3 linked regions of the Caenorhabditis elegans genome follow. The protein of the gene in region 2 binds, or shares a complex with, the protein of the main gene of each other region. Each region holds a gene or a part of one and is shown on either strand. Other genes may lie near its edges. The genes, in order: dyb-1, dyc-1 and stn-1.

Region 1 (11,625 bases), on a different chromosome or scaffold from region 2:
GCTGGAAAAAATTATTATAGGGTCGCCGAAATGGGTCTCGCAGCGAAAAGTATTATTATACGTTTGAGAAGCTGTAAACTTTCCGTTAAAAGGCACACGAGGAAGGTCTCACAGGGAAATGTAATATTATACGTTGGTGACGCTGTAAACTTTCATTTTCAAGGCGCATACAGTGGCTCTTGCAGCTAATAATATTATTATACGTTTGTGAAACTCGGAAGTTCCAATTTAATGGTGCATCAGTGAGTCTCGCAGCGAATAGTATTATTATACATTTGTGAAGCTGGGAACTTTCATTTTCAAGGCGTAGGCAGTGGGTCTCGCAGCGAAGAGTTTTACTGATATTTAGATACCAACAGTAAAATTATTTTCAGAAATTCTCAATTTCTCAGCAGTATCAAAATATGAAAATTATCTATTCTTGGACATTATCGATTTTTTGAAATTTTCGTTATTCCCAATTAGCCGATTTTCGAAACGATTTTGTAATAATCATTTTGGAATTGAACCATTTTTCCGAGTTGCCAATTTTTCAAAATTATTGATTTTATCACAATCGAGTTGCGGTGATCAGAAAAATCTATGTTTATCGATTTTCCAAAATATCGATTTTTCGAAATTATTGATTTATTAAAATTATCGACTTTTGGCGATTTTTTCCCCAAACAAAATAATTATCGATTTTTATCAACCAACGTCGGAGCTCACCCAAATCGAGTTGCCGCAAAAGAGAGAAAATCGATAGTCTTTGCCGATAGAAAATCAATACTTTTATCAATTTTTTATCGCCGGCGAATAATCAATAATTTTATCGATTTTTTTGATTGCCGGGGGAAAATCAATAATATCATAGTTATTTATCGCCGGCGGAAGATCAATAATTTTATCGATTTTCCAATATTATTGATTTTTTAATAAGAATTATCGATTTTTGGAAAATATTTCCAAGTCACCAAGTCATTATATATATTTTAATTTATGAACCAGCGTCACAACTCACCCAAATCAAGTTGCCGCACAAGATCGCTCATATTAGTAGTAATTTGATCAGCAGCATGTAATAAGTCTCCTTGTAGACTTGTCGCCGGCAGACTTCCCGCACGGAATGCATTTGCTACTGTCGAATTGACTCCAGTCAACTGTTGATCCGATGCAGTGAATGGTAATTGGGATAGAGAAGCAGATGATACACCTCCTGATGGTTGGGGTCCCGTCTGGAAAAGGTTTTTGTTGTTTTGAAATCAAAAAATCGATAATTTAATTTTATTGATTTTTTGAAGGTTGAATTTTTCAGAAAAGCCGATATTGAATTTTTGATTTTTACTGAAGCTTAAAAAATCGACAGGTTTACACATTTTATCGGTTTTTATCGCCGGCGGAAAATCAATAATTTTATCGATTTTATCTCCGGCGGAAAATCAAAAACTCCAAAAACTTTGTTTTCTTAAAATATAAAAATTATCGATTTTTCGAATTTTTTGAAAATTATCAAGTATTTTTTCTAAATTTGGAGGAAAATATAACGATTGTTTTTGAATTCTGCAAAATTATCGATTTTTACATTGTTTATCTATAGAGCGCGTTAGCCACAGTAGGTATGACCTACATTCAACTGAGCCATTAAATGCTCCAATTGCATCATTAATTCTCTCCTCCTCTGTTGCATTTCAAACATTTTCTCTTCCAATTCCATTTTCCGGTCGCGGAGCCCGGCGAGCCCGTCATCGGAAGTTGTTTGGCTCTCCAGTCGAGCCATTTCCCGTACCATCATTGAATTTTCTTCTTCCAGTTGAGCAATAAGGGTCCGTTCGTCTCCGACCATTGAACTATTCATACTTCGACCGTTTGATAGGGGATACTGCAATTTATTGATTTTTAAAAAGAAAAATCGATAATCGATCAAATTTTATTAAATCAATAATTTGACTTTCTGCCGCCGGCGGAAAATCAATAATTTTATCGATTTTTTTGATTGCCGGCGGAAAATCAATAATTTAATCGAATTTTATCGCCGGCGGAAAATCAATAATTTTATTGATTTTTTTTGTTTGCCGTCGGAAAATCAAGATGTTTATCGATTTTTTTTATTGCCGGCGGAAAATCAAGATTTTTATCGATTTTTATTGCCGGCGGGAAATCAAGATTTTTATTGATTTTTTCCTGATTTTTTTCGATTAAAAACTCACATCAGCCCTTCCCGACAACTTTGCTGCATATCTCGCAATAAGCTTATGCTCATCATCAATAACTCCTCCATGCGACGCCTGTCCCGGCAGAAGTACCGGTGACGTCGGCCAGTCCGCTGATGACGTGGCAGCGTGTTGCCGGCGGATCGTCGTCGGTGTCGCCGGGACGATGTTGTTCAGGTTTAGCGGTCGAGCAGGTTTGCTGCTGACCGGGCCACCGATTTTTGCGTTAAAAATATCGATGTTTGCATCGCCGACGGTTGACGTGGCAGGAATACATTGGAGACTTTTGTGAATTGAGTGTACGAGCTGTTTTGTCGGCGATTTCTGAAATTACTAAGTTATTGATTTATTGATTTTGGAGTTGAGAACGCTTTTTTCCATAATTTTATCGATTTTTTTTTTGCCCGGCGGAAAATCAATAATTTCATCGATTTTTGATTGCCGGCGGAAAATCTACATTTTTATTGATTGTTTGTTGTCCAGCAATTGATAATTTCTCTGTTAACTAATCGTTTTTGTCGAATGAAAATCGATAACTTTATCGATTTTTTTGATTGCCGGCGGAAAATCAATAATTTTATCGATTCTTCATCGCCGGCGGAAAATCAATAATTTTATCGCGCGCTTTATAGATACATTTTCGTGTACTCCACGTGGAAAATCGATTTTTCAAAAAACTCACATAGCTGGAATATTCTTTCATCTCGTGCTCATTTGAATGATTTTGACTCGTCCTTCCCCGCCAAAAACAGCTTTGACACAACTGATAATTGGCGCATCGCTGACATTTATACCGAAATCCTGTGAAACTTCTGACTTGACACGCATCACACACCACCGGATGGTACACGTTGCTCACAGACGCCATTCGATGTAGCAAGGGGAGCCACATTATGCATGGGGGACATGGATCGCTGGAATATTAATTTTGTATGATTTTTTGATAATTTGACAGAACAGGTTTCAAAGTGTTGGTTGATAAATTTTCAAGAAAATTAACGCAGTGGCTATAGAGTTACACCATTTTGAAGATTCTAGGCCACGGTGAGAACTTCGGTCACCCCGTGGGGGGGGGGGGGGGACCCGTGACCCCATGACAACTAAAATTCGATTTTATTTGATAATTTGATAGAAATTGTTATATAAAGTGTTCTGATAAAGTTTCAAGAAAATCGGCGCAGTGGCTTTAGGGATGCACTGTTTGAAAGTTTCTAGGCCACGGCGAGGACTTCGGTGGCGGCGTGGGGACCCGTGACCCCATGAAAAGAAAAATTCGATTTTTTGATTTGGTTTCATTGAATAAGTTATAGATACAATTATTGCAGAATTAAAAAAAAATTTTTACAGTTTTTCAAAAGTTACACCGCTCTGAAAATCCTAGGCCACGGGGATGCCTTACGTGGCCGCGGGAGGACTTCAGCCCTACGTCTATTATTTTTTCTAATTTTTCAAAATGTTAGGTGTTTCAGAACTTCCAAGACACCTAAATTATTATTCTGGGTGAGTTGAGGGACTGGTTTTCCCCCCGATGGGAGAGGAAATGCATTTTCTCTTTCGCGCGTGGTGTCAGAGTGTCTCATTTCGGCGTGATCTACGTAGATCTACAAAAAATGCGGGAGAAGAGACGTAGAGTTCTCAACTGATTTCACATGATTAAGAACGTGCTGACGTCACATTTTTTGGGCGAAAAAATTCCCGCATTTTTTGTAGATCAAACCGTAATTGGACAACCTGGCACCACATGCTAACGTAGTTTTGTGTAAAAGGTTAATTTTTTCAAAACTTTTTCAAAACTTTTTCTAAAATCTATTTTTTTATTTATTTCCAAAATTGATATCTACCTCAAAAAAGTGTCCAGAAACACATTCAAAGATACTTTCTCATCCTTATGAAAGCACTGATTAACCGCGTTTTCGGAAAATCCAAACGTCGGTGCTTCGAAAACTGCAGTGGTTAGGGAGAGGATTTGTTGCAAAAAATCAGTAAATTTAATATGATCCATTAATCCATTCGAATCAGCGATTTGAGAGAAAATGTCTGAAATTTCAGATTTTTTTTTGAAATTCGCAAGCGCAACTCACATCTCAGCTTGTCCACCAATTTTCCAGCGCAGAGTGTTGCCAACGCGACTTTTATTGAAAAAACCGTCAAACGTCCGGTATTTTGTCTGAAAAATTGGCTTTTGAAGCGTGTGACGTCACTTCTAGGTAGCGGAATATCGGAGTGTCGTTGTGAGAATTACAGCCTAACTGCGCACGGGGTTTTGGCCTTCCTCATTGAATTTTTCGCGCTCCATTGATAATCGCCTGCCGGACGGGAAAGTCGTGTACTCCACACGGACAAATACATTTAGTTTTACAACTAAAATCGAGCCGCGACGCGACACGCAACGCGCCGTAAATCTACTGGCCTAGTTCGGCAAAAACTCTTCCATTTCAATTTATGAGGGAAGCCAGAAATCCGTGACTTTATCAAAAAAAAATTTTTTTGCAAAGTGTCCTTATATGAATAAAAATTCACTGGGAAATTTTAATTCCAGAGATATGAAACCCTGAGATTTTTTCTGCTCTTTCAGTCAATTTTCATTTTTGAAAAATCAAAACATTATGCTGAAAACAAAAAAAAACAGAAAAAATTTCGGATAGTTGAAATCTGTGGGAACCAAATTCCGGTGGAATGTGAAATTCCGCGGATCCGAAAACCGGAAATTTTCTTTCAGTTTTAGGATTTTAAATTTTTTCATATATTACCAAAATTTCTGTTATTTACAGAACATGTGTAGATTGAATCCCGTAGATTCCAATACGCGGAATCAAAATTCTTAGGGAATCTAGATTCTGGAGACACGAAAACCCGAATATTTTTCGTTATTTTTTGCAGTAAAAATTGGAATTCTAAATACACAGTTTTCACGCAGTAACACAAGAAAAAATTCTTAGAATTTCGAATTTGCCGAATCTAAATTCCTGGGGAATCTGGGTTCCGGGGATTCAGAAGCGTGAGTTTTTTGTCCGAGAGGAGTCCAAAACTCACTTATCATAAGCACCTAACAAAAACGCGAGTAGCAAAGAAATCGATACATCCGTGTCCACATGTTGTGACGCTACAAGTCTTTTATTCAAATTGTGGAATACTGTAGTTAGCAGAAGCTCGGCGCGTGACGTTTTGATCTGAAAATTTCCCCCACATTCTCAATAGAGCACACTTGCAACATACCACAGTATGTAGGGGTAATGCATTGAGTCCGTTTTCTCGAAAAGCTTCAATCATATTCCAAATATCTACCAAATGAACTTTCGTCTTTTGTTGAATAAATCGCAGTTTACAGGCGGCTCGATACGTGGCAAATCTGATGGAGTCGAAATCTTGGAGACCTGAAAATGCGCTCTATTGATGATTCAACTTTTTTTCTGAACTTTGGGCATTAACCAATGAAAGCCAATAATTTTTTTGCACTTTTTCGCAAAGAAGAATTATTTATAAGCTTCCCTTTCTCAAGAGGAGTAGCGGAAAAATTCATGAATTTTCAAAAAAAAACTCGGGTAGTTGATATCCACAAAATTCTTAGGGAATTTTCGATTCTGTAGAATTGGATACCGGAATTTTTAGGGTTTTTTTTTTGGATTTTTTTTGAAGGTATTTCCGTGTTTTTTCGACAACATTGAGCATTGAGAAAAAATGTTTTTAAAAAAGTCGGGTAGTTGATATCCGCGGAAACAAAATTCACGGGATTTTTATGCCGCGGAATTGGAAACTCGAGTTTTTTGTTCTTTTTGCGGCGAAATTTTTGCTTCCACTCGTTTGTTATTTTATCCAGACCCTGACTAATTTTCATAGAAAAAAATCCGAAAATTTTATTCCCCGAATGCCAAATTCCCTGGAATCTGGATTCCCGTGAAATTTCGATAATGGGGGATTTGAAAACGCGGAGTTTTTTGACATTTTTTGTTGTGTTAACTTGTAAATTTCATGAACATTTTGGAGAGTGTATCAACTTTGAGCATTTCGTATAAATTTTGTTTTAAAAAATCCAGTAAATTCAAATCCACAGAGTACTTAATTCCAGGGAACTCTAAATTCCGACGACTTAGAAACGTGGAAATTTTTCCGTTAATTTTTTACATAATAAGGTATTTTTTCTACTTTTTCTTTGAAAATTTCCGAAAATTCAAATCCACCGAAAAAAAATCCCAGAGAAAATAAAATTCCGGAGAATCAAAAACGCGGGAATTTTTTGCGTTTTTTAACCAATTTTTCCATGAAAAAATTGAAATTGGAATTGAGAAAAATGGTAAAAAATTTGGGTAGTTAATATCCACGGAAACAAAATTCCCGGGAATTTTTATTCCGCTAAATTGGAAACTCGAGATTTTTTGTCCTTTTTCGGCGAATTTTGAGTTTCCACGTAATTTTCACATTTTCTGCAAAAATTTATATTTAAAAACTCAGAAATCCAAATACGCGGAAGCGAAATTCCAGGGAAATTGGATTCCGTAGATTCAAAAACGTGAATTAAAAAAAAAATTTTTTTGCTGTGCTAACTTGAACATAAATTTGAAAAAAATTTTAAAGAAAAAAAATCCCGTAAATTCAAATCCACCGAGTACTTAATTCCAGGGAAATCTAAATTCCGAAGACTTAGAAACGTGGAGATTTTCCGTTAATTTTTTTTACATAGTTAGGTATTTTTTCTACTTTTTCTTTGAAAATCTCTAATGAAAAAAGATTTATTGAAAATTTCCGAAAATTCGAATCCACCGAAAAATAATCCCATAGAAGTTAAAATTCCGGAGAATCAAAAACGCGGGAATTTTTTAGCGTTTTTTAGCCAATTTTCCCGCAAAATTGAACACCCACGCATTTCATCAATCAATTGTTGCATTTCAGATGCCACAATTGGTGGTACAGAATGCATTGCACGATGATGGTCTGGTGATGGTGCACTGCTCGGCTCACGTGGTCCTCCTCCACCATTTGACCACAACATTTCAGGAGAAAAACCCAGAGTGTCTGAAATTTAAAATTTAAATTTTAAATCAATTTTAAAAAAATTTAAACCAAAACTCCACCCACAAAATGGCTGGCCAGAGCTAAAAAGTGGTAGGGTTTAAAACAAAGAAAATTGGGGGAGCTCTGGCTCCTAGTGGGCGGAGTCTAACTCTGGGAGAGAAGACATTTGGGGGGAGCCTAATGGGTTTTGCATGTATGCGCGCTGATTTGCTTGGCACATTACTAAGCCAATATGTTTCAGGGAACCAACGAGGTTGTCCACGAGGAGTACAAAAAATATTTTTGGGGAATTTCGACTCCGCGGGATTTTAAATCTCAGGATTGAGAGAAAAATAATAACGGTCACGTGGTATCAGGTTGTCCCATTACGGCTTGATCTACAAAAAATGCGGGAATGAGAAATCAGTTGAGAACTCTGCGTCTCTTCTTTTCCCTCATTTTTTGTAGATCTACGTAGATCAAACCGAAATGAGACACTCTGACACCACGCGCGTAAGAGAAAATGCATTTCCTCTCCCATTGACACCACTTGAATCCCGGTAAATCAAAATCCCAGGGAATTTCGATTCCGCGGATTTGAACTCCCGGGGGCGTTTTGTAGAAATTTGTTCAATAAGCGTTGAAATCCACGGAAACTTGATTCGCCGGAATTTTCGTTTCCGTGGATTTCAACTACCTTACGGTTTTTGAGCTAAAATTTTTTTAGGTTGAAATTCGCGGAAACTTGAATTCCGGAGAATTTTGATTCGGCAGAAATTGAATTTGTGAAAAAAGTTTTTTTTCTAATCGGGTAGTTGAAATCCCCCGAAACTGGAATTTCGCGTGTTTCAGGTTTTTAAGCGAAATAGGCCCAAACTTGTCCACGAGAACTACACAGAGTATTCAAAAAAAGTTCTTTAAAAAAAATATTTTCAAAAAATACAACAAAAAACTTGCTTTTTTCCACGCGGAGTACACAATTTAAAGCCTTTTTATCATTAGAGCGTGTTTGTATAAACAATTTATAAAAAAATTTCAATAGAGATTTCCACTAAAGAAAACTTCAAAATTCGGATTAAAAATTTGTCCAATAGAGCGCGATTGCATTGCAACAACATACGAATTTTCAGGTAATATTGCCATTAAAGCGCGATTGCAGCAATAATTTTTAGAAAAATGTTGAAAAAAAAGGGAAAATCGAGCCAAAAATACACGAATTAAAAATTAATTCGTGGTATACGCTTTTGCTCTCGGAGCACTCAAGGGAACACTGGAGAAAGTGAATTTAGGCAAACGTGAGTGAGAGAGAGAGACTTAGAGAAATAGAGAGTATTAGAGAAAGAGAGACACAAGACGGATCGATGTGCAAAAGGAGAGGAGGGGGGGGGGGGAGACGTATTGGCTCAGAGAGCAGCGGTGGGATGAATGTGAGCATACGGAGAAAGATGGAGAGAGAGAGAGAGAGAGAGAGAGAGAGAGAGAGAGAGAGTGCAGAGAAAAAGAGATAGGGGGCCCCCACTGAAACATTGGGACCCCTCACCCCATCCGTCTCAACTCAATGAGGTGTAAAAGTATACGCATTATACACAGGGATATTACGAAGTGGATGAGGAAGAGAAAATTAGTGGCCTAAGTTTTTGGATTTTCTAGGCCACGAAATGAAAGAAATTTTGGCTTAACGTGTGTTTGTTTCTCCACTTTCACAATTTTAAAAGGAGGCGGTTTTATGCGGAATGTTTTTTTTTGTTTAAAATTCGTGTAGATCAGGGGTGGGCGACAAATTAATTTGTCGACAAATTCGGCAAATCGGCAAACTGCTGGTATGCCGATTTGCCGGAAGTTTTCGATTCCGGCAATTTGCCGGTTTGCCGATTGCCGGGAAAAATCGTTTGCCGCCCACCCCTGATGTAGATCAAAATGAAAAAAAAAAAAAAAAAAAAACAGAAATACGAAATAAGAGATAAATTGTGTGATCTACCCGTGATCTACACGAATTTTACACAAAAAACTGCTAAAATGATGACTCGAAAAGGCGGGAAAATACCCTGTGACGTCACATCGCATTTTGCATAATTGGTTTTCAATTTAAGCGCCGATTTTCGTAAAATTTATTAAAATTTTTCAAATAAATTTTTTTATTAATTGGCTTTATTCAATGTTATTGCATTTTGACTCGATTTCTCCACTCAACTTGGGAAAGTTGTGTACTCCACACGGACAAATACATTCAGTTTGACAACTAAAATCAAGCCGCGACGCGACACGCAACGCGCCGTAAATCTACCCCAGATATGGCCGAGCCAAAATGGCCTAGTTCGGCAAAAACTCTTCCATTTCAATTTATGACGGAAGCCAGAAATCCGTGTAACTTTTCACGAGCTCATTAAGGTTTGTATCAATTTTTTCTGGTACAATTTTTTTTTAATTTTAAACGAAGATCGCACGTGTTTTCAGCTCGACCATTTGGTGTCATTTGTGCAAACACCGTCACGCGCAAATGCAGACATTTTTGCACGCGCTGCGGTGAAATTCCTCTTGGCAATGAAAAAAAAAATTATTAAAAAAAATTTTGAAAATTAGAAAATTTTCGAGGCGTTGGTCGAGCTGAATACACGTGGATCGTTTAAAGGTGGAGTAGCGCTAGTGGGGAAATTGCTTTAAAACACGCCTATGGTACCACAATGACATAATATCATGATAAAAAAATTCAAAAAAATTTTCTAAATTTTATATGATTTTTTGAAAATTGAAAAAATCTCAGTTTTTGCCTAATTCTTATTTTAATTACCGCCAATTGGATTTGTTCGATGGAGCGCGCTTGCACGTTTTTATTTTTATTTATTTTATTTATTGTTATTTTCCACCGATTTTTAATGTTTTCGGTGCATTTTTGCTCGATTAAAAAACACGATTACAGGCGTAAATCAGTGAAATTAATTAATTCAGGTTCGAAATCGTTTAAAAGCGTTACTTTTTCATTTTTTTTTTCACACCAAGTGAAAAGTTAGGCCAAAGTTAGGTTCACTTGGTGGCCTTACTTTTTCATTAACTTTTCATCTGGAAAATTAAAAAAAAACAGTTTAAAAATATAAGTAAAAAAGTTTGCGTTTTGAATATTTTTTGACTGCACTTTAACGCGACGGACTAACTTTCCATTTCGTGGCCTAGAAAACAAGAAAGCAGACTTTTAATATTTATCGAAACTCCATTTTACAGACAATACACAGAAAAAACATCTTAAAATTAAAAAACAGAGATTTGTCCGCTCTCCAGCATGGCGCGAATCCGGAATTTTTGAATTTTCGTGTGCACTCTCGGGAAATCATCGACAAAGGCGAACACGTCGGGAGCGACAAACTGAAAATTCAAAAATAGACCTGAAAAGTTCGGCCACAATGTGGGTAGTTCGGCCACAGACTAATTTTGCATCGGTGGCCTAGGAAAAGAGAAAGTTAGGTCACCGAATAAAAGTTAGTCCCCATTGGCTCGTGGAAGATTATTTTTCCGATTGCCTAGAAATCATAAAAGTTAGGCTACAAAACGACAATTTGGGGGTTTCTGCAAATTTGGTGTGTCCTAGAAAGCCATGGCCTAACTTTCTAGAACTTCTAGGCCACGTGCTTCATCAACCTACATGATGTGAACGACACATGCTCTTCAGCTCATCCTTCAGCTTTGCCGCATGAAATTGTGTACTTCTGGCGACACAAACTGCCGTGACCGGTTGTCCTCTACCACGTGACACCACTTGAACCCCTTTTATCAAATCATTCTGATTCAGGAGACGTTCCAAATTCCAGTGTTCGACTAGACAATTATTCTTGTCATATATCAGATCATCCTCGCTTGCCACCACCTCGATCGCTCCGTTTTCGTCCATTCGACCGATGTCTCTGGAAAAATTTATGTTGGTGGCCTAACTTTTCCACTAAGCGGAAAAACTAGGCCAAGAGCTAAAAATTTGGATTTTTGTCCATCTCGCGGACTTGCAGTGCAAGAAGTTAGGCCATTATATTGCATGTGATAGCTAAACTTTTTGAATTGTTAGGCCACCGAGTAAAAATTAGGCCAAGACTACCAGGTGGCCTAGAAGCCTAAACCTCCTACCCAGTATCGACCCATTTCTCTTTTCCTTTCGTATCAGGTGCATATCCCATGAACGTCGATCCATAGTAGACTCGAATCAACAGTTTTCCCAATTTTCCGGTTTCTACTTGATTTTCACTTCCGTCCAGTGGAATCAGATGGGCTTCATAGCCGGCAATGGCTTTTCCCACGTTTCGAGTGAAATCTGAATTTTGATCTCCCATAAGTGGGATGGATCCGGTCTCGGTGAGTAGGTACCCAACCTGAAAATGGAGAATTGTTGAGTTCGGGGACTAGGTTTTCACTTGATGGCCTAGGATATATAAAAGATAGGCCACCACACATGAGCATCCAATCGGGG
Region 2 (8,446 bases):
GTTGCTAAAGTTGAGAAACAGTTCGATAAAGTTGACTAAAGCAGGCAAGCTTAGTAAAAAGTTGCAAAACGCTAAAGTTGGTTCTTAAGTTGCGACGAATTGCCGCAGGCGATTGTTCAGCAGAAGAAATACAAATTTTTTAATTATTTTTTTTAGGTATTCTCAAAAATGAAGACGGGGAAACTTTTCGAAGTTCTCTCTAAAAATGATACTTCTACTACACTTTTTTGGAAAGTTTCGTATCATCTTATTGAAATTGGGAATCCTTTTCTACATATAAAAATATTTTTTAAACACTTTTTAGCTTCCACAAAATTTAAATTTTGATTTGAAATTACTTTTTCAAAATGGGTTTTCTTGCAAGAAAAAAAATCGAAATTGTGAACAGCTTGTAAAAATCGATAAGTGTGTACTAATGGATATTATTTTAAAATTAATTTTTTGAGTTTGTATTTTTCTCTGAGAAAAATTTCAAAATTTTATTTTTTGTTCAAATTTCATTCGACTTACGGCTGGTTTAAAAGTGAAGAAAAAACATGTTAATCATGTTAATATAAAAAAGAAATCAATTAAAAAAAATTCAATTTTAAGGCGTTTCAATAATCCACACATAAGTCTCCCAAAAACCTTATTTTGCACTAAAAACGTCAGATATGCTGGGCACCAAAACTTGCAGCTACTTTTCATACTTTTCATACAAGGTCTGCGAACACGATACTTGAAAAAGTAAAAAAACTAGATTTTGAAAAGCAGACAACTGGTCTCCGCCAACACGATAAAGAACATGTATGTTTCGTTGATGAGCTCCGAAAAGTTTTCGCTGTCTGTCTGTTCAAAAACATGAAGAACATTGAGCACGTTATGTGAACCCAACAAAAACGTCTAGGATAGGCCGAGTGTAACCTGGAAGTGGAAGCCAGTGAATGATGTTGTGTAATTTACGATGGCAGAAAACAATGTTATTGATTTTTGTTCTTTTTTTTAAGCCAAAATATTGCTTTTTTGATCCATACATTTTATTTTCTTGCTTTCAAATGAAGTATAATCTGTGAAAATACTTAGGATTGCATGGTAATTCTGATTATCATTTGTTCTTTCTTCGATAATTTTTGTTCAAAACGTTTGAAAAATACTTATTGCCACAAAAAATTTGAATGAGTCTTAGAGCTTATTATCATCTTAAATCACGAAATCTTCAGCAAGGTCTGTAGTTTTTTAAATGAAAATTGCATTTTCTTGATAGTAGAAAAATGTTTGGGTAGTGTGGACAAGTGTGTAGACAATTCAATTTTTCAAATTGAGGGGCATTTACAGAATTACAAGAGTAGTATCGCCAATATGAAAAAAAAATTTTTGAGTCGGATAATATTCTAAATTGTGAACAAAATCAGTTTTTCCGCCACTTCTCGAAAATGGGAAGTTTCGGAAATGTAACACCTGTGGGAACTGATTAACAACGCGTTGGGAAATTGTATAGTGATTAAACATCGGTATTCATTTCTATAAATATTATTCAAAAAAAATTCATGTAATACATACTTAATTGAAAACCACATAAATTTTCAAATTCGATAGTTTCACCATATACAAAAAATTCAACATTTTAACTTTTTCGACGCTCTTTCTAAAAAAAAATTTGATCACAGTACTACTTCAATAATAATAATAATAATATTGAAAATAATGACTAACCTTTTTAGAACACTTAAATACATTGCATTTAAATGTGTTACTAGCTCCATCCCGTGCAATGTAGGAAAATATTTGAAGATCTTGAGAATCATGTGACACGTAGAATATCCTTCAAAATTTTTACAATAACAATTTTACAGAAATTTAACAATACCTGTATATTGGGTGAAACATGACAAGTAATTTAGATTCATCCCAAGAGAGACCTTTCTCTTTCTGTTTCTTCCGCTGAAGAACAACTTTGACACCATCGACGGATACGGTAATGTCGACCGGGCGTTTTTTGATACCACGAGCTTTGAATTCGTACTGAAAATGGTTTTATTCAATAATCAAGGAATTAGGAAAATAGATTTTCAAAAGCGTTTTCTTCAAACACTTCAATTTGGTTGTTTAAGAAAAAGTCAGTCAAAATCAACAAATATGACACGGTCAAATTCAAATTCACATCGATGATATGCTTGTTCAAATATTGATTGCTTATGTTTCCTTAATCAACAAAAAAAGTTTTAGATACGACTATAGGTTTTAGGTAAAAAAGTATCAGCTTTTTTGCAGTGTGGCAGATTATTCAATCAACGCCTAGCATTTACTGACTTTAATATTGATTGATTTAACAAACGAAAAAATTGTAGAGAAGAAAACACTAGCAAGTGTAGAATTTGTAAAAAATTCAATAAATTATGATCTTTCAAAGTATTACGATTCTATTTTCTACACTACTAATAATAATGTTGCAACCATGTAATTATACAAATTTTAGATTATACTACTAATTTTCAATTGCAAATTTCAGCTCATTTTGAATATATCTCTATTTGCGAGTTTTTATAAAAAAAACTCACTCGAACTCGTCGCATCGCCGCCACAATCTCGATTCTCGTCCCGGGTCTAGGAATTTCCATGCTTCCGACATACTGCAAAAACCCTTTTTGGATTAAATCCAGTAGTTTTGTTTTTGTTTTCTTTTTGAAAGAAAAAAAAAACTAAACTTCCCACTATGATTAAATTTGCAAACGCGTTAGGACCAAACTTGAAGACAATCTAATCTACACCCTCCGGGCTTTTCAGAATATTCAATGTTCGTTTAAACAAGATTAGCGTTGTACAAACATTCGAATACATCTTTTCACAAACCTTTGCTTCGAAATGAATACCATGCTGATAAGCGAGTTCGTTATGGAGTGGAATACGGCAGTCGTAGACATCGTCGGCGATGATATCGTACGGACCATGCTTTTTCCGCACAGGCATTATATCCTCACCTCTGTAAAATATGAAATAATGATGAAATGGTGGAAATGTTAGTAAAAAAGTATTAAAGAAAAACGGTTAGAGAAGTAAAACAAGATGTTAGATGGTTTCAGCAATAAAAAACATGGGTGTTTTGAAGAAAGTGAATTTTAAACAATAATCAAAAACAAAGTGGTATTAGACACTCGGCAAATCGCTGTTAGTACGGGAGGACGTATGTCGATTACAAATTCCTTGTTATAAACATAACATGTTTAAAAAAACTGAATGAATGTCAATTTTAATAAAGTACAGAGCCTCTGGTTTGTAAATGTTTTTTATTAATAATATTACTGGATTGCGTTTCCGTAATAATACATCTTTTTTGCACTTTCTACTTGACCGAAATGTTTTCGTGCAGATGAAAATAATGAAAATTAAAATATTTACATGATACTACGCAAGACAACATTTTATCAGAAAGAAAATTTGGACTTTAAAACTATTTTCACGCAGAAAAGGCCATGAGGTTTCAAAACCAATTTTTTGTTAGGTTAAGATAGGGCTGGTAATCCAGAGGACTGGCCTTTCCGAATGTACTGATTTTCGGACAATCGGGCGTTCGGTTTTGAACATTCGTGGATTTATGGGAGCGTATATCCCGACATTTTTTTGTGTTCCGCGTCTCATTGTGATAATGCGTGCGTTTCTATAGTAAGCAGCGGAACCCAGAAAATGTCAGGATGTAAGCTCCCCTAATTCCTGTGATAAAAAAAATTTCCACCTTATTTTGCCACCCATGGTGACTCCATGTGGGCGGACGTCCAGATGGCCAGCCCTAGGTGGAAAAATAACAAAAGTTGAAGTAGTGCCAGAATGTTATTTATGCTGAAAATCAGCAGAAAAAGAGATAACATTTTCAACAATTTTCCGAATGTATTGATATTTTAGTCCATGTTTTAGGTACACTATTAGAAATTCATTTTAAAAATTACTATGCTTTCAACTGTAAATTAACAAAGATTTTTTGTGCACTTTGAAGAAAATTGTTAGTTTCATATTCTGACTTTTCAGCCCCTAAACAACTTTCCTACTGATGCTACTCCGTTTCTAAATGGACAATAAACACTTGTTAAACATTTCTGAAAAAAAACGCTCACTCAAAACCGTATCAAACCTTCAACTGCATATCGAGTATATCAGCTACCATGAGCCAGTATACTACGAAGCAATTGTCCGATATCAGGACAATTTGGATATCGTATTGAAACTGGTGGTGACGTTGGAAAACGTTGGGTGAAGAGGTGAGGTTCGCTGAAAACTCAGTGATTAAGCTGCTAAAAATGACAAAAAGGGCACACTATGAAAAAAGAGCAAACGAGGAAAAATAATTGAGTGATGATGAGAAATGATGAGGAACAATGGGCCAAGTAGATGGGGGAGAGAGGAAATGAAAGAAGAAATGAATAACTCATGCGGCAACGCAATTTTAAACACTAAAACCAAATATTTTTGCTTCTGATCATTTTCCTGGAGGAAAAACGGATAAGGGAGTATTGAACAAAAGAGCAAATGCAGAGAAAAGTGTAGGTAGTGTAGCTAAAAGGACTTTTAAGGAAAGTGGACTGACCAAAAGTCCGTCCGCAAATTGAATATGAGAATGGAAACAGGAGGAAAACGGAAGCCGATGTTAAGAAGGAGGGAAAGAAGTTTAGGATGATGGGGGGGGGGGGGGGGGGGGGGACAGAAGAAATAGAAGAAGTTGCGAGCCGAACAAAACTGGAAATTGGTTGGTTGGGAGACCGATGAGCGAGGTTCCCTGGAGACGTTTTCAAATAGGAATATAAAGATTGAAGATGTGTTGAGAGAAAAAAATAAAATAAAAACGCAAAAAAAGAGGAGGGGCGCCTACAAAACGGCTACAAATATGATTGTCAGTGCGGGGGAAAGATATTTCTACTTTCATGGATTTGAAATGAATAAATGTAATGTTATATATATTATACAATACAAAACTTGTGTTACTGTATTTTTCAAGTAGTTCCATGCTTTCATATGAATTTTTAAAATTACCATTATTACTAACACAGCACGTGATGGCAAGCGGTCTCATTACGATTTGATTTACAAAAAAGGCGACGTCAGCACACCTTCAAAAATGCCAAAAAAATCTGTCGAGAAGTCTGCGTCTAGATCCCCGCACATTCCGTAGATCTACGTAGATCAAACCAAAATGGGACACTCTGACACCAAGTGACACAACTCTTATAAACTCGTTTCTCTGATTGATTAGTTGAAAAAAGCTGATAGTATTCACTACAAAAGCAATGATACAAGGAAAATTAGTGCAATATCAAACATTTCGGATTGGTACAAGTAGAATGGCATACCAAACCATTATCGCAATGCATCTAAAAATAATTCAAAAAAAAATTAATGTCAGTTGAATTTCCAACATTGTGACAAAAAATGTGGTGTTAATTATTTTACGTGGTTTCGTATACTGAAAAACTGTATTTATTTACATGTTGATGTCAATGTGAAACATGATAAAAACAAAAAAAAAGCTTCACTATTTAGGAAAACTATATGAATTAAAAAATTACACATAGTTTGCGATTGGGAAACAAATTTCAAAAAAAAGGAAACCATACTTTTTTTTAGATATTGGCAGTAGCATAATGCACTAGAGCAAATATACGAAGTTATATTCTAGAAATTTGAAAGAAACGCAACAAAAATCAAGATGAAAGCATGCAAGTTTTGCTCTTTATATATCGTCTCATCACCCGTTCTTCTGCGACATTGGAAGCAATTATCCACACTATCACTCAGTTCCTAATCGATTTGAAAATAGAAAAAAAAATCGGAAAATGGAGGACAAAACAGGGGCAAAAAGAGAAAAGCGGTCGGCGGGGAAAAGAAAACGAAGAAGCGGTTGCGTGTGTGCCGTACTCTCTCATCGTCTTGTCTTGCGCAATTAGTTGTGATTTTAGGAAGCATGCGTGTGCATGTATGGGTGCACTTGTAGCTGATTGACTTATGCGCATCTCCTTCTTTGATAGAATTGCCGAGTAGAAGAGTTTAGATTTGTTGGAGTGATGGAGAGGAGTCACCGCTCCTCCTCATCCTATTCCTCCACATCTTCTTTTTTATTGTGACTGACTTTGTCGGGAGCCTTGCTCCAAAAACTTACTCTATCTTACTCTATCTACCACATCTTCGTCTTCTTGCGTTGGCCTTTTTCCGCCAACATTTTTGATGTAATGTGTCTTCGGAAGGCGTCTGAATAGAAAACGAAGCAGAGTTGCATGTTTTTCGGCAGTTCTTGGATTAACTTTTGTGGATTGGAATGTTTGTCAGAATTAGATGTGGAACCATCAACTTCAAAAACATTTGGGCCAAGATCATGTTGTGTAATTTAAAAATAACAAAATTATACTTATACTGAAAGAGTTCCAGTTGTGATAGCCAAATTCAAAATAGTCTAGCCCTGCATTGTAAGTACATATAATACGATGAGGCCAGGATAGACCTTTAGTTTTCAGTTTTTGCAGCGTCAATGTTATATATCATATTTAAAAAAATGTTACAGTTTGACACCAGAATTTTAATTTTCAGAAAACGGTTAATTGTGCAAATACCTATTACAATCTAAATGAATCAAATATTGAGGGTATTTATATTTTATTAAACATTGAAGGTTAAGCACCAAAATCTGAGGCTTTTATTTTTTAGACCCAAAATTGCACAAAAATTATCGAATTTTGTAATGAGACGTATTGAAAATTCTGGAAAAAAAGCTCATTTTCAGCTAAAATTAATTTTTTTTCCCAACTTCTCGGCGTCGCAGCGTCTGGAACTCAATGTTAATTAAATTATCACTCTTTGATAAATATTGTGGTGTTTAATTAGGCGTTTATTATATGGGTTAAAAAAATTGTATTTTGTCGTGCTCACAATATAAAATGCTGCACAAATACATTTTAAACTTTTTTAAAATAAAGAAATACAATGACCGAGCTCCAAATTGATTCAACTATCGCAGTTTCAAGAATATTATTCAAAAAACCTGTTTTTCGAGAATTTCATATTTCAACCAGTTTCAGAAAAAAAAATCTGAGAACAACGAAATTTGGATGACAAGAAAAAAAAGAAGGAAAAAGCGCACAGAAGGAAACAGAGGAATAACAATCTAAACAAGAAGACGTCGTTGATTAGCTACTTGAAAAACGTTCAAGAGTCCATACGAAATTTCATTTCCAGAATGTACGGCATGTGACTCTCGAAAGATTGGCACCAAAAGACAGAAATTGTTAAAAAGAGGAAGGAAAATGAGCATTTTCAATTTTCACAAAGACAATAGTGTCAAGACTCGCGTTTCGTATGTGCAATTGACATTGTTCAGTACTAATATGGATGTTAACCAAAAAACATGGATCTGTGTTTTTTTGAAAATTATTTTAGGCTGAACGGATATTAGGAAGCTGCTACAATTTATTCGAAAAGCTGTAATTTTTAAGTTGATAGTTCAATTGAAAACGCCTCGTGTATAAAACTTGCACTGAAGGTGTCCTTTGGAGAAATTGAAATTTAGCCAACTACGATTTTTCTTGCAAGAAATGATTTTTCTGAAAATAATTTTCGAACTCATGTTATTAAACCTTTTATACAAATTTCAGTTTGTTTAAAAGCTTTCGTTAACTGATGAAATTTCAATTTTTACAGCGCACAGTGCTTAAATGGAAATTTTCTAAACTGAAGCAAATATTTTTTTTCGAATTTCAAAGTTATCGGAGGTTATTGCTACATTTCAACTTAATTATTTTTCAGTTAAAATTTAAATTGAAAAAATCCTAGAATATCTATGTTTTCTGGATTTGGCCTTTGAAATTAATACATTTTCAGCGTTAAAAATCAAATATAAACATATGCTGTTAAGTGGGGAAAGTTCAAACTTCATATATATATGGATCAGAACAATGTGAGTTGAAATAACCTTTTCTAGTGCTAACTTATACATACAATAGGTATTACAATAAAAATTATTTCGATGCTATTTTGTTTTAATTGGATAACAGTTTTAAAAATACAAGACAGTATAATATTTGAAAGGAGAATCTTTAAAAAATTAAACATTGGTGCAAGGGAAACAAAATTTACTTGCAAAACCAATAAAGCAGCAGTGATGCGAAGTATAAGAACAAGTGATTAGGGTATTTTGTTGTTGCCTCTCTCTTCTCTCAATCACCTCCCAACTATCCCACCACACTTTCTCACTCTACCATCGAGTTGTGCTCTAAACCAACGCGGCACTTGTTTCATGTTGGGGGTGCTCCGCCGTCCGTTAGATCATGCTCATAAATCCTAAATCGAGTCGCATCATCAAAAAAAATGTGGAAAGAGATAGCGGAATGGCGGGACTTGTCGTCCTGAACGTGAAACTTTCTGCAGACATTCATTCGGTAAAATTTTCTTAACCCCTGTGTACAAAAAAAAATTCAAGGAAGTCAGTCTGAAA
Region 3 (9,779 bases), on a different chromosome or scaffold from region 2:
TATCCGACGTCCATGACGAATGGATCCGTTACATCCAAACGCAGCAGCAATCCAAAGTCATCACAGCAACTCCCGCCAGACATCCGAAATTCGAAGTAAACCAAGTTGATGCAGATGACAAGAAGAAGGATTCGAGAAAAGGAAACTACAGATCTCCGTATTGTTACAAGTGTAAAGTAGTCGGGCACGTTTCAAAAGACTGTCCTCAGAGTTCCACCAATTCAGGTGTGACCAATCGTAAGACTGAGCATTCTGAAGTGAATACGCTCGAGGTTGGGTCTGGAAGACAGACATCGCCTAGTCTTCGGTTGAACGTGGAAGGACAACAGATCGATTTCACTTTTGATACAGGCAGTGACATCACCCTTATCAGTGTCCAGAACTGGCAAAAGATCGGGAAACCGCATCTCGAAAAGGTCCACCACAAAATTTGCTGTGCCAATGGTACTGAAATCGCTGTCAAAGGTAGAGTGCTCGTATGGTTCAAAGTCAAAGGTGTCGAATACACTGAGTATGTGTACGTCTGGAACAGAAACAATAATCTGTTAGGCACCAGTTGGATGCGCCACTCGCCTCAAATGCGTGATGCTCTGGCCGTAATGGTTAATCATATATCCACTGTGGATAACTCGAAGCAAAATATGCACTCGTTCTCAAGGATTCCTACTGGATACAAAGATCGTGCTGAAAATGTTGAAAGACATGTTGTTGCATCTGCGCCGCGTAGTAGTAAGCGCCAGTATGTAAGATTTGCGCGCAATAAAGCGTTTCAGATTGGGCAATTGTGCCTTGCTCGGGTTCAAGGAGAGCACAATTTTGGCTGGATTTATGGAGTGGTTCAAAGACAATTGAACGGAGTACTCTATGAAGTACAGTTGGGATCGAGAATTCAAAGAATTCACACGAACCAACTCCGTCACATTTGCGGTCGCCGGAGCCGTGGGAATGACTATGCTTCATCATTCATCGAAAATCCGTGTAAATTGTCGCTCTTGGAAAACATTCCGCGCTCTAGTTGCCGCCAAAAATTTGTCGCTCAAGGTGTCCGTGGGGAGGGGAGGGAAGCTAATCCAGTTTTAGTTTCAGATTCTTCTGTTTTTGGTTTTAGTGCTCCAGATTTGTCAGCTTGTGATTCTGTTGGTTCTCGATCTGCTCGTGAAGTCGTCTCGTCGGTTGCCGGCAATGCTCGAAATGCTACTTGTGCAAATATAACTACGATTCATGTTACGGAGAGCAAGAGTTCGTTGAAGAAAAGCCACAGAAGACGTCGCCGTGTGGCAAAGAGTCGCCAATCATATACTTCTGGAAGTTCGCCAATCAAAGAAACCCATCTGGACCCCCTGCTGGAATCCGATGTTGCGAGTGACGGCGAGCGTTTCCAACCCGGCATCCTCCTGTGTCATTCTCTTCGACAGAGTCACCCACGACAAGTTGTGCGAGGATCAGCCCCAAACACTGATCATGCCTCCACTCGCCGCAGAGGTCGATATACCGCCTCTGGTCGTGATGCCCCTAGCCCAGGCATAATTTCTGGCTTTTTGTCATATAAGAGGGGAGATGTTGTGGACGGAACGTAAACCTGAACTTTATACAGACGTGACCTTTGGGTCATCATGAACTTATCGCGTAAGCGACCTCTCTTTATAATTCATTACTTCTTACACTTTCTTGTAATAAACTACTTCTCTCCTTGTCTCTCGCTCAATACACAACAAAGCTCAACGTCAAAAAATTGAGAAACAATAACTGGTGGAGGGGAGGGAGGGAAAAAGAAATCAGATACGGTCAATGATCTAAATGTTTGAAGAAAGATCAAGGAACAAGATTCTAAAATTATTCAATTTTTTCTCAAGTTTTTCAGAATTGTTTGACACAGAATAGAATAGCTTTTGGAAGAAAAAACATTGATGGATTTTCAGATGGATTTTCTATAGATTTTTAAAGATTGCATTTCTGCTGGGGTACTGTAGTTAGAGAGCTAAAGTATCTAGAGCAGCAATTGAAAATTAAATTTCATCACGAAAAACAGAACACCTAATAGTAATTTCAATTTATTTCGAAAATAGGAATTAAATTGGATAATATTTAACTTTCACTGTATAAAAAAAGTTGTAAAAGGGAATACTTCTGATTAATGTAGTAATTGCAATTGGTTGTAATATATCGTACGACACAGAAAACTACAACTACAACCAAATGAGAAAGAAAATAAAGAAAAGAATAAAGGATCAACTTGCTTCTTCTCTCTTCAACAATACAATTGCATGTGTTCGTCACGTAGTGTGTAAGTGTTCGTCTCGTGGCGGGAAGCCAACGGGATTCTTCGCCCAACACACAATCATAACCGATATAAATTCGAGGCACCAAGCTGAGAGTCAGATGGAAAAAGAAAGAGTGAGATGTAGAGAAAGAAGCGAGACTCGGAGTGCGCGGTAGAGTTCATCAGAGAGCATGTTAGGCAGAAGAGGGAGCAGGAGTGCCGTCGCACTAGCTCTCCGGCTTCATCCGACGGAGAAGAGAGCAGTTGAGAGAAGAAGAAAAACGAGGGGAAATAGAAGAGAGAGGACTCCTCTGCTGCTCCCACAGCCCAAATATTCTATTATTGCCCCTTTTCTTTCTGTTTCTTTGCTTCTTAGCATCTTTCTCTTCTGGTTTTTTTTCTCGCTTTCCTTCATTCCGCTACAAATCCTCCCGAATTTGAATTCAAATTTTTGGCATAAATTGGTATATGCAATATTCAACTTTACAGAGTACAATCGGCTCAATTTCGTAGTATTGCTCCGATTAGATCGGCGTCGTTTCGATGGCCGCCGTTCGATCCGGCCTGGTCGACATTTTTGTTCAGGGACAATGGCATCGTGTATTGGCTACTCTCGATCCAACTGCTATCACATTACAAGTAATTTTTTAATGATAAAATATTCCGAAAACTAGAAAACCACTGGAAATTATTGTAAAACAACTCATTTTTCGCGAAATTCTAAAAATAAATTGGATGGTTTCTAAAAACGAACAAAAATCTATATTTGAAACAATTATTGTTAAATAATTTAAATTTCGGTATAATAAAATATCATTCATTTTTCTAATGTGGAATGATACAAGTTGCTGAAAAATAGTGGTCGTTCTTATTAATACCAAAATGCGAAATTTTGCTATTCAAGACAAAAGAATACGGTACCGTGTCTCAACACGATCGAGCACGGGTTTCTGGCTCGACCCCTCGGTGTATTTTGTGCAAACACCGTCACGCGCAAATGCATACACTTTTTCAACGCGCTGCGTGAAAATTCCTCTTGCGATTTCAAAAAAATTTTCCCGCCATTTCAGCGTCCGATGGAGCGCGGGGTCGAGCCAGAACCTCGTATCGAGCAGTTATAAATAAATTTGTCGGAAAAGAATGTGCGCCTTTATGAAGTACAGTAGGCTCTAATCCTCACTATTTCGCAGACTGTTTCGTTTTAGAAAAAGCAGCTGCTGGAGATTGGGTCTGGAGATTACTGTAGGTTTTAAAGGCGCACACACATTTTTCACACCTTTAATCCTTTAATCTTTTTGTAAGTTTTCAGTCGTGTCGAGACCAGGCACCGTATTCTGGCGTCATAAAACATTTATTTTTTTACGAAATTACGTCGAACATAAGTTTTCTGATGCCCACGAACGAAATATATCATCTGAAGAGATCCATCTATGGAAACCAGAAACGGGAATGGGATCATATTACAAATAGTCTATGCTTCTTCTTCTTCTTTTCCTTTCGCCACATTTTGGCTCATTTTTCAAAAAAGGAGGCGAGTTGGCTATGAAAACTTATTAGTCGTTCTTGCTAGAAGAAAAAAGAAAGAATGGAATGAGGCTACTTAGAGATGAAGTTTGTATATGATACGACTTAAAAGGAGAAAACGGATGGAGAAAGGTATACTGTGACTACAATAATTATCTTCTTGGAGTCTATATGAACTCTTCGTTCCGACATATATTCTCAAGTATTAAAATGTGTATAACTCTTTTGCTTTCTTATCTTTCTCATCTCTGGTATGACAGTCCAACTGAAATTTTGGGAAAAGACAAAGAAAATATACCATTGCTTGTCAAAAAAGAAGTCGTCATGTCATCTACTCCCCCTTCTCCAAGTATTCCGTCAATCGAAGCTCCGGCTTTTGACAAATTGGTATGCCAGCTTGCATGATTTCATTTTACTCAGTCTCCTCCAAAAATTACATTAGCATGTGTGAATTTGTTTGAAATTGTTTAAAATTTGGTCGGGAAACGTGGAAGGGGATATTTATGAGCAAGGGAAGTGAAATCCAAAGAGAAATGGGTTCAAGCTGTGATGAATAAATATACTATTTTTCAGACAATGGAGCAGAATGAGGCTGAAGCAGAGAAACGGACAGTTCGAGTTGTGAAATATGATGGAAATGGATTAGGAATTTCAATTAAGGGAGGCAGAGACAACAACATGCCTATTGTGATCAGGTATGAATGAACTTGCGGAGATTTATACATCTCGTGTGCCATTTCGTGATTTTACGTCAATTTTGAAATTTTGATCTATGATAAATAATTTTTAGTTTTAATGACAAGGGCAATTCTCTAGAGAAAATTTTTATAATAACTGAAAAATGGAAGAATGGACTAGCAAACCTCGTACACAATCGTGTGTCGATTTACTCAGCGTGTGTACTCCCCGTGGAGAAGCATTTAATTTTTTCAGAAGATTTTACAGTTTTCGGTCAAAAACAGAAAGTATTTCCCGAATTATCCAAAATTAGGAATTTAAGGCGATAACTGTGAAATTGTTTGCAAAAATGTACACTTCTCCTCGGGCAGTACACACGATACGTAAATCGACACTTTTTTTTCTGAAATAGAATGTTTAATTTAGCAATTAAAGAACAAAATTAATTTCGATTGTAGCAAAATCTTCAAAGGAATGGCAGCGGATCAGGCTGGAGAACTATTTCTTGATGACGTCATTATCTCTGTGAATGGAGAAAACCTTCTCGATGCTTCACACGAAGAAGCTGTAAGAGCATTGAAACGAGCTGGACGGGTTGTTGACTTGCAAGTACAGTATAGAAGAGAGGATATGATGCATCGGGAAAATATTGTGGAAAATGTTGAATGGGATGATGATATTCGGGAACGAGTTAGAACAATTGGTTTAAAGCTTGCATATGTGGCAAGAGCTGGAATAGATGCAGATGCAGAAGGTAGAATTCTAGAAATGAGAAGTCCATCAGGAAGGTATTCCCTAGCAATGAGATGTTCAAGTAGTGAAGAAGCAGATGGATGGTTTGAAGCTTTACATGCCTGTACCACGTGTCTTCTGACTCAGGCACTGGCTCAAGTCAATATAATGCTCGGTAACAACCCCCAAGTGAGACATATGGGTTGGATTGCAGAACAAGTATCAGAAAATGGAATTTCAATGTGGAAACCTAAATTTATGACGCTTACGAATAGTGAGATCTTGTTCTATGAAGCTGTTCCACAGCTGAAAGCAGAATGGGCAGAGCCAAGACTAGTACGTCCTCTGGTGGCAACAAGAGTCGTTCAGACAAGTTCTCGAACTGCGCCAGTAATTAAAGGTCTCACTGATGTGATCTCTTTCCGTATGAGAACTGGAACTCAACAAGGTGTTCGGACACATACGATCCGGGTAGAAACTCATGCAGAACTGGCACGATGGGTTCGTGCAGTAGTGATCGGTGGATATGAAGCATGTCTTTCTACATCTCAAGTCTCTGCTCCTTGTCTTTGGCGAGGCGAATCATGCGAACTAATAGTTAATCTAGACAATGGAATATCATTACTTTCGTCGACTGGAGAGGTGAGCTCATTGGAATAATTTAGCAATAAGAAAGTGATAAACGTTTTCTAGATTAAAACAAAGATTTATAACATTTAGAGAAGCTACATTTTCTTAAAGCTTACAATTCAGGTACTGTGGCAACATTCGTTTGAAACGATTCGCGCCACCGGCGATGATGGTGGTCGTTTTCTCTGGGTCGATTTTGGACCACCACATGGTGAACAGGTAAAAATGGATTTTATTTTAACCTTAATTTCATACTTATAGAAAAAAAACGGATTTTTTTTGTGTAAAGTTTTTGAATAAAAAAAAGGATAGGCAACAAAACAATAAAAGCAGATCAACAAGTAATATTCAAAACAAAAGAAGCATAAATGAATGAAAAATTTAGGAATTGGATTTGCTAAATTCCGCAAAGCCAGTCGTGTTCATTCTTCATTCATTTCTCGCCACCAAGGTGTATCGATTAGGATTGTACGCGTGAAGCATCAAAAGGTTAGTTCATTGGAGCTCCATATGCATCAGGCATTCGCTCAATGGAGAATCTGTGATTGACAATGTACATGATCGGAACTCCTGGGATCTTTCGGATGCGGCGCTTCAGATCACGATCACAAGTGGCCACAATATAGCATTTATGCTGAAAATTATATTATTTTTTTCATTTTCAGATTCGTTATTTGTTCAAGTTTGCCAAACAAAAAGACTGCAGCAATACCACATTCCGTCTCCTGCCTCTTCTCGTCATAATAGATTTTATTCGTTTAAGATTTGTTAGATTTTATTAAATGAAAAACAATGAAAAATTATGAATAAACGAACCTGTGTAACTCTTTGAACCAAACAATCATCAGCATATGTTCCTTTGTGCTCACACTTCAGTCTCTGCACACGTGGATCTTTCAGAACTTTCAGAGCAATTTTGAATCTTCTCACTTTTTCCAATTCAGCCAATACACAGTCAGTTGCGTACACAATAGCTGAATTATTGTGATAAAATACAAGAAAACGAAAGAAAGTGTATGACTCACTTTTCGCGAACAGACAATCCATGAATCCTTGAAACATGTCAATGCGATTTTTGACGGCGAAATTCACAAAATTGGTATCGACAATAACGTGAAATGGTGGACCCAGCTGTGTATTGTATTTCATAAACATAGCGGATGAGATTTTTGGACTGAAATTATGAATTATTATTGTCTGGACACATATTCGTACGAATAAAACTTACGCACGGACCAATTTGAGTTCTTGTTCATCTACTTTCGGTGTTCTAATGACTCTTTGTTCTTCTTTTCTGAAATATTGCGTTTTAAATCAAGGTTATTCGATAAAATTATCGTTATCCTTACATTCTGTTGTCTGTCTTTTTGACAAGCTTGTTTACAGCGCTTTTTCTGGCGTTGGACTTCAAGCGTTTACCCATTTTCTGTAAATTAGAACATATATTTGTAAATTAGCACATATATTATCGAAGAAATTTGGAAAAAACGAAGAAAATCTTTAAAATAAGAATCTCGAACAAAATATCGAGACCCGAAGAACTCGGGGGATGTCCAATTGGGGGGATTACCAACTCGGGGGATTGGCCCCGCCCACAGAACCGTGGCTTGCAATACGCCCATTTCTGCAACTGCCGCACGGTTTTGAAACTGTATTTTTCTTGTTAATTCTCGCTCTATTGAGAAAAATACAGTTTCGAAACCGTGCGGCAGTTGCAGAAATGGGCGTATTGCAAGCCACGGTTCTGTGGGCGGGGCCAATCCCCCGAGTTGGTAATCCCCCCAATTGGACATCCCCAGAGTTCTTCGGGTCTCAAAATATCAGAAAAAATTTTTGCGAAAAAGTCCGCAGAGTTGGTGCTCCGTGTATGCACCAGTCAATGCATTTAATCTGACGCACAAACCAGCATTTCAAGAAATTGCATTCAATGTGCATCGCATATTCAAATTTCTGTCAGCTATTTATGTTTTTATTTTATTGCCCCGTTTCTTTTCTCCGCGGACTATTGATTATTGACGATGTGGAATAATTCATACACGAACTTTTAAATCTTAACGCCAAGAAAAAGTGCAAGAATTCAGTTTAAAATTTGAATAAAAAGTAAAATAATATTTTCGCGTTGTCATGTTTTCAAAGTCTGCTTTTATTTTTATTCTTAACGAGAACACTTCCTTTAATAAAGGAATGTCTAAAAAGATTTTCAATTTCAGAAAATGACAAAGGAGACTGACAAAAAGCCAAAAGAACGTCCGAATCAAAGAAAAGTTGCATTTCGAAATGAAGCAATAAATGCATTAGTAAATACAGATGAGGACCAAGTCACATTTTCGAAAGCAATGGAAGTTGCCAAATTAGATTGTCAAAAGTGTCTTCTACACGATATGCATAGTTCAAAGTAAGCATTTTTATTAAACAAACTATAATTAATTTTGTTTTTATCGATTCAGGTCATCGAATTGTCGCGATAATCCATTTTGTATACATCGATTAGGACTCGAGAAGTTTGAAAAGTTGATAACTCAGGAGCAGGAAACTAAAGAAGAAGCGAAAAAAGATCAAAAGCGGAGAGATCTGAATGATCAACCAGCCGGGCTTATCAATGGAGGAAACTTTTGCTATGTGAATAGTTTTCTTCAAGTCTGGTTCAACGTTCCTGAGTTCCGGCAGTTGATCTATGATTTCCGACCATCGGAGAACTTTGTTCCGTTAGTTTTGTTGCCTCAGTTTTTCAAAAAAAATTTGTTTTATTTTTCAGGCCAGAAGCTCCAAGAATGAATGTTCAAGCAACTATGCTCGCGCTTCAAGACATTTTTTATACACTACAGACAACTCCTTTCGTAAGTTATTTGATATGAATGCTGTTAATTTTAGATTTTTCTTTCCAGAACGAGACCGACAAAACTTCGAATCTTGGGAAATTACTTCGATTGAATTCAGAACAACAAGATTCTCAGGAATTCGGATTAAAATTCTTCAATGCACTCGAACGATGTCTTCCAGATCATCCGAATGGAAAAGAAACTTTGAAAAGATTAAAAGATCTTTTCACTGGAGAGACTTGTACTCGAATTGTATGCAAATGTGGACAACGATCTGAACGGGAAGAAACAGCAATCTCATTGACTTTGAATATTGAAGGTTATTGCACACTTCTAGATGCTCTTGATGCTTACTTTGGAGAAGAACAGTGAGTTCGATCTTTTTCTATTCACTGCTAATATTTATTTTCAGTCTGGACGACTTCAAATGCTCAAAATGCAATAAAACTGGAGATGTTTCGAAGCAATCCGATTATGTTAAGCTACCTCCTGTCATTGTGATTCAGCTCAATCGATACAAATACACATCCAAAGGGCGTCAAAAGTTAAAAACACCAATGGCATATCCAAGAGAAATTCCAGCAAAAGCATTTCAAAGAACGAATAATTCAATTCCTCCGCCTGCTGAGATGTATGATCTTTTCGCAGTTACCATCCACGAAGGCAATAACGCTGAATGCGGGCATTACTATGATCTTATCAAATCACCGCTCAATCAGAAATGGTATCGGTACAATGACGAGGCGAGTAGCTTTTAGCATTATATTCCTTTAAAAGGTTTTCAAAAACATATCTATTGAAACTTTTTACAACTTGGGCTTCACAATTCACTTTTTCAGACAGTCGAAGCCATCCCAAAGCCACCTGGAACTGAGAAACCCACCACAGCAAAAACTGAAAAATCACGGAAAAAAGATAAAGAAAAATATCCAACGGATCAAAAAGCATGTTATGGACTTCTTTACCGGAGACGTGATGCATTTAAACCACTTCCACATCCAAAACTTCCTCCAGAAGAATTGATTATTGACTCGAAAACTGAGATCGAAGAATTATTCGAAGGATTGACGAAAAAGAAAATTGAGAAGAGTGAAAAGAGATTGTATGATCTTGAGAGACGGATTAACAAGGTGAAG

Evidence for each region.
Region 1: dyc-1 (region 2) and dyb-1 share a complex: the UniProt entries of both Caenorhabditis elegans proteins name them as parts of the dystrophin glycoprotein complex.
Region 3: dyc-1 (region 2) and stn-1 share a complex: the UniProt entries of both Caenorhabditis elegans proteins name them as parts of the dystrophin glycoprotein complex.

What each region holds. Positions count from the first base shown.
Region 1 is NC_003279.8:1,478,657-1,490,281, reverse strand, and holds the start of dyb-1 (Dystrobrevin-1), read right to left. Parts: upstream 7,200-11,625; 5' UTR 7,177-7,199; coding exon 7,047-7,176; intron 5,564-7,046; coding exon 5,406-5,563; intron 5,360-5,405; coding exon 5,223-5,359; intron 4,429-5,222; exon of another isoform or gene 4,357-4,428; coding exon 4,271-4,356; intron 4,227-4,270; coding exon 4,031-4,226; intron 3,104-4,030; coding exon 2,872-3,103; intron 2,676-2,871; exon of another isoform or gene 2,655-2,675; intron 2,514-2,654; coding exon 2,187-2,513; intron 1,859-2,186; coding exon 1,607-1,858; intron 1,215-1,606; coding exon 1,001-1,214; intron 2-1,000; coding exon 1-1. Other genes in the region: acs-16 (AMP-dependent synthetase/ligase domain-containing protein), read right to left, coding at 10,422-10,535, 10,813-11,071, 11,286-11,527. UniProt on the Caenorhabditis elegans protein: Plays a role in cholinergic transmission and as a functional partner of dystrophin (dys-1), necessary for muscle maintenance. Required for localization of ctn-1 near dense bodies in muscle cells.
Region 2 is NC_003284.9:14,045,328-14,053,773, reverse strand, and holds the start of dyc-1 (Dystrophin-like protein 1), read right to left. Parts: upstream 4,240-8,446; 5' UTR 4,103-4,239; intron 3,947-4,102; exon of another isoform or gene 3,926-3,946; intron 2,960-3,925; 5' UTR 2,947-2,959; coding exon 2,830-2,946; intron 2,610-2,829; coding exon 2,538-2,609; intron 2,002-2,537; coding exon 1,847-2,001; intron 1,802-1,846; coding exon 1,693-1,801; intron 1-1,692. UniProt on the Caenorhabditis elegans protein: Together with dys-1 and hlh-1, participates in a common muscular function.
Region 3 is NC_003279.8:9,498,519-9,508,297, forward strand, and holds stn-1 (Syntrophin-1), read left to right. Parts: upstream 1-2,749; 5' UTR 2,750-2,803; coding exon 2,804-2,899; intron 2,900-4,357; coding exon 4,358-4,479; intron 4,480-4,920; coding exon 4,921-5,836; intron 5,837-5,884; exon of another isoform or gene 5,885-5,947; coding exon 5,948-6,043; exon of another isoform or gene 6,044-6,209; coding exon 6,210-6,302; 3' UTR 6,303-6,313; exon of another isoform or gene 6,314-6,314; coding exon of another isoform or gene 6,315-6,458; intron 6,459-6,489; 3' UTR 6,490-6,640; downstream 6,641-9,779. Other genes in the region: F30A10.9 (PIN domain-containing protein), read right to left, coding at 6,315-6,458, 6,641-6,798, 6,850-6,998, 7,053-7,118, 7,174-7,247; Ubiquitin carboxyl-terminal hydrolase usp-48, read left to right, coding at 8,038-8,219, 8,272-8,529, 8,580-8,661, 8,710-9,011, 9,056-9,390, 9,487-9,779. UniProt on the Caenorhabditis elegans protein: Adapter protein that binds to and probably organizes the subcellular localization of a variety of membrane proteins. May link various receptors to the actin cytoskeleton and the dystrophin glycoprotein complex (DGC).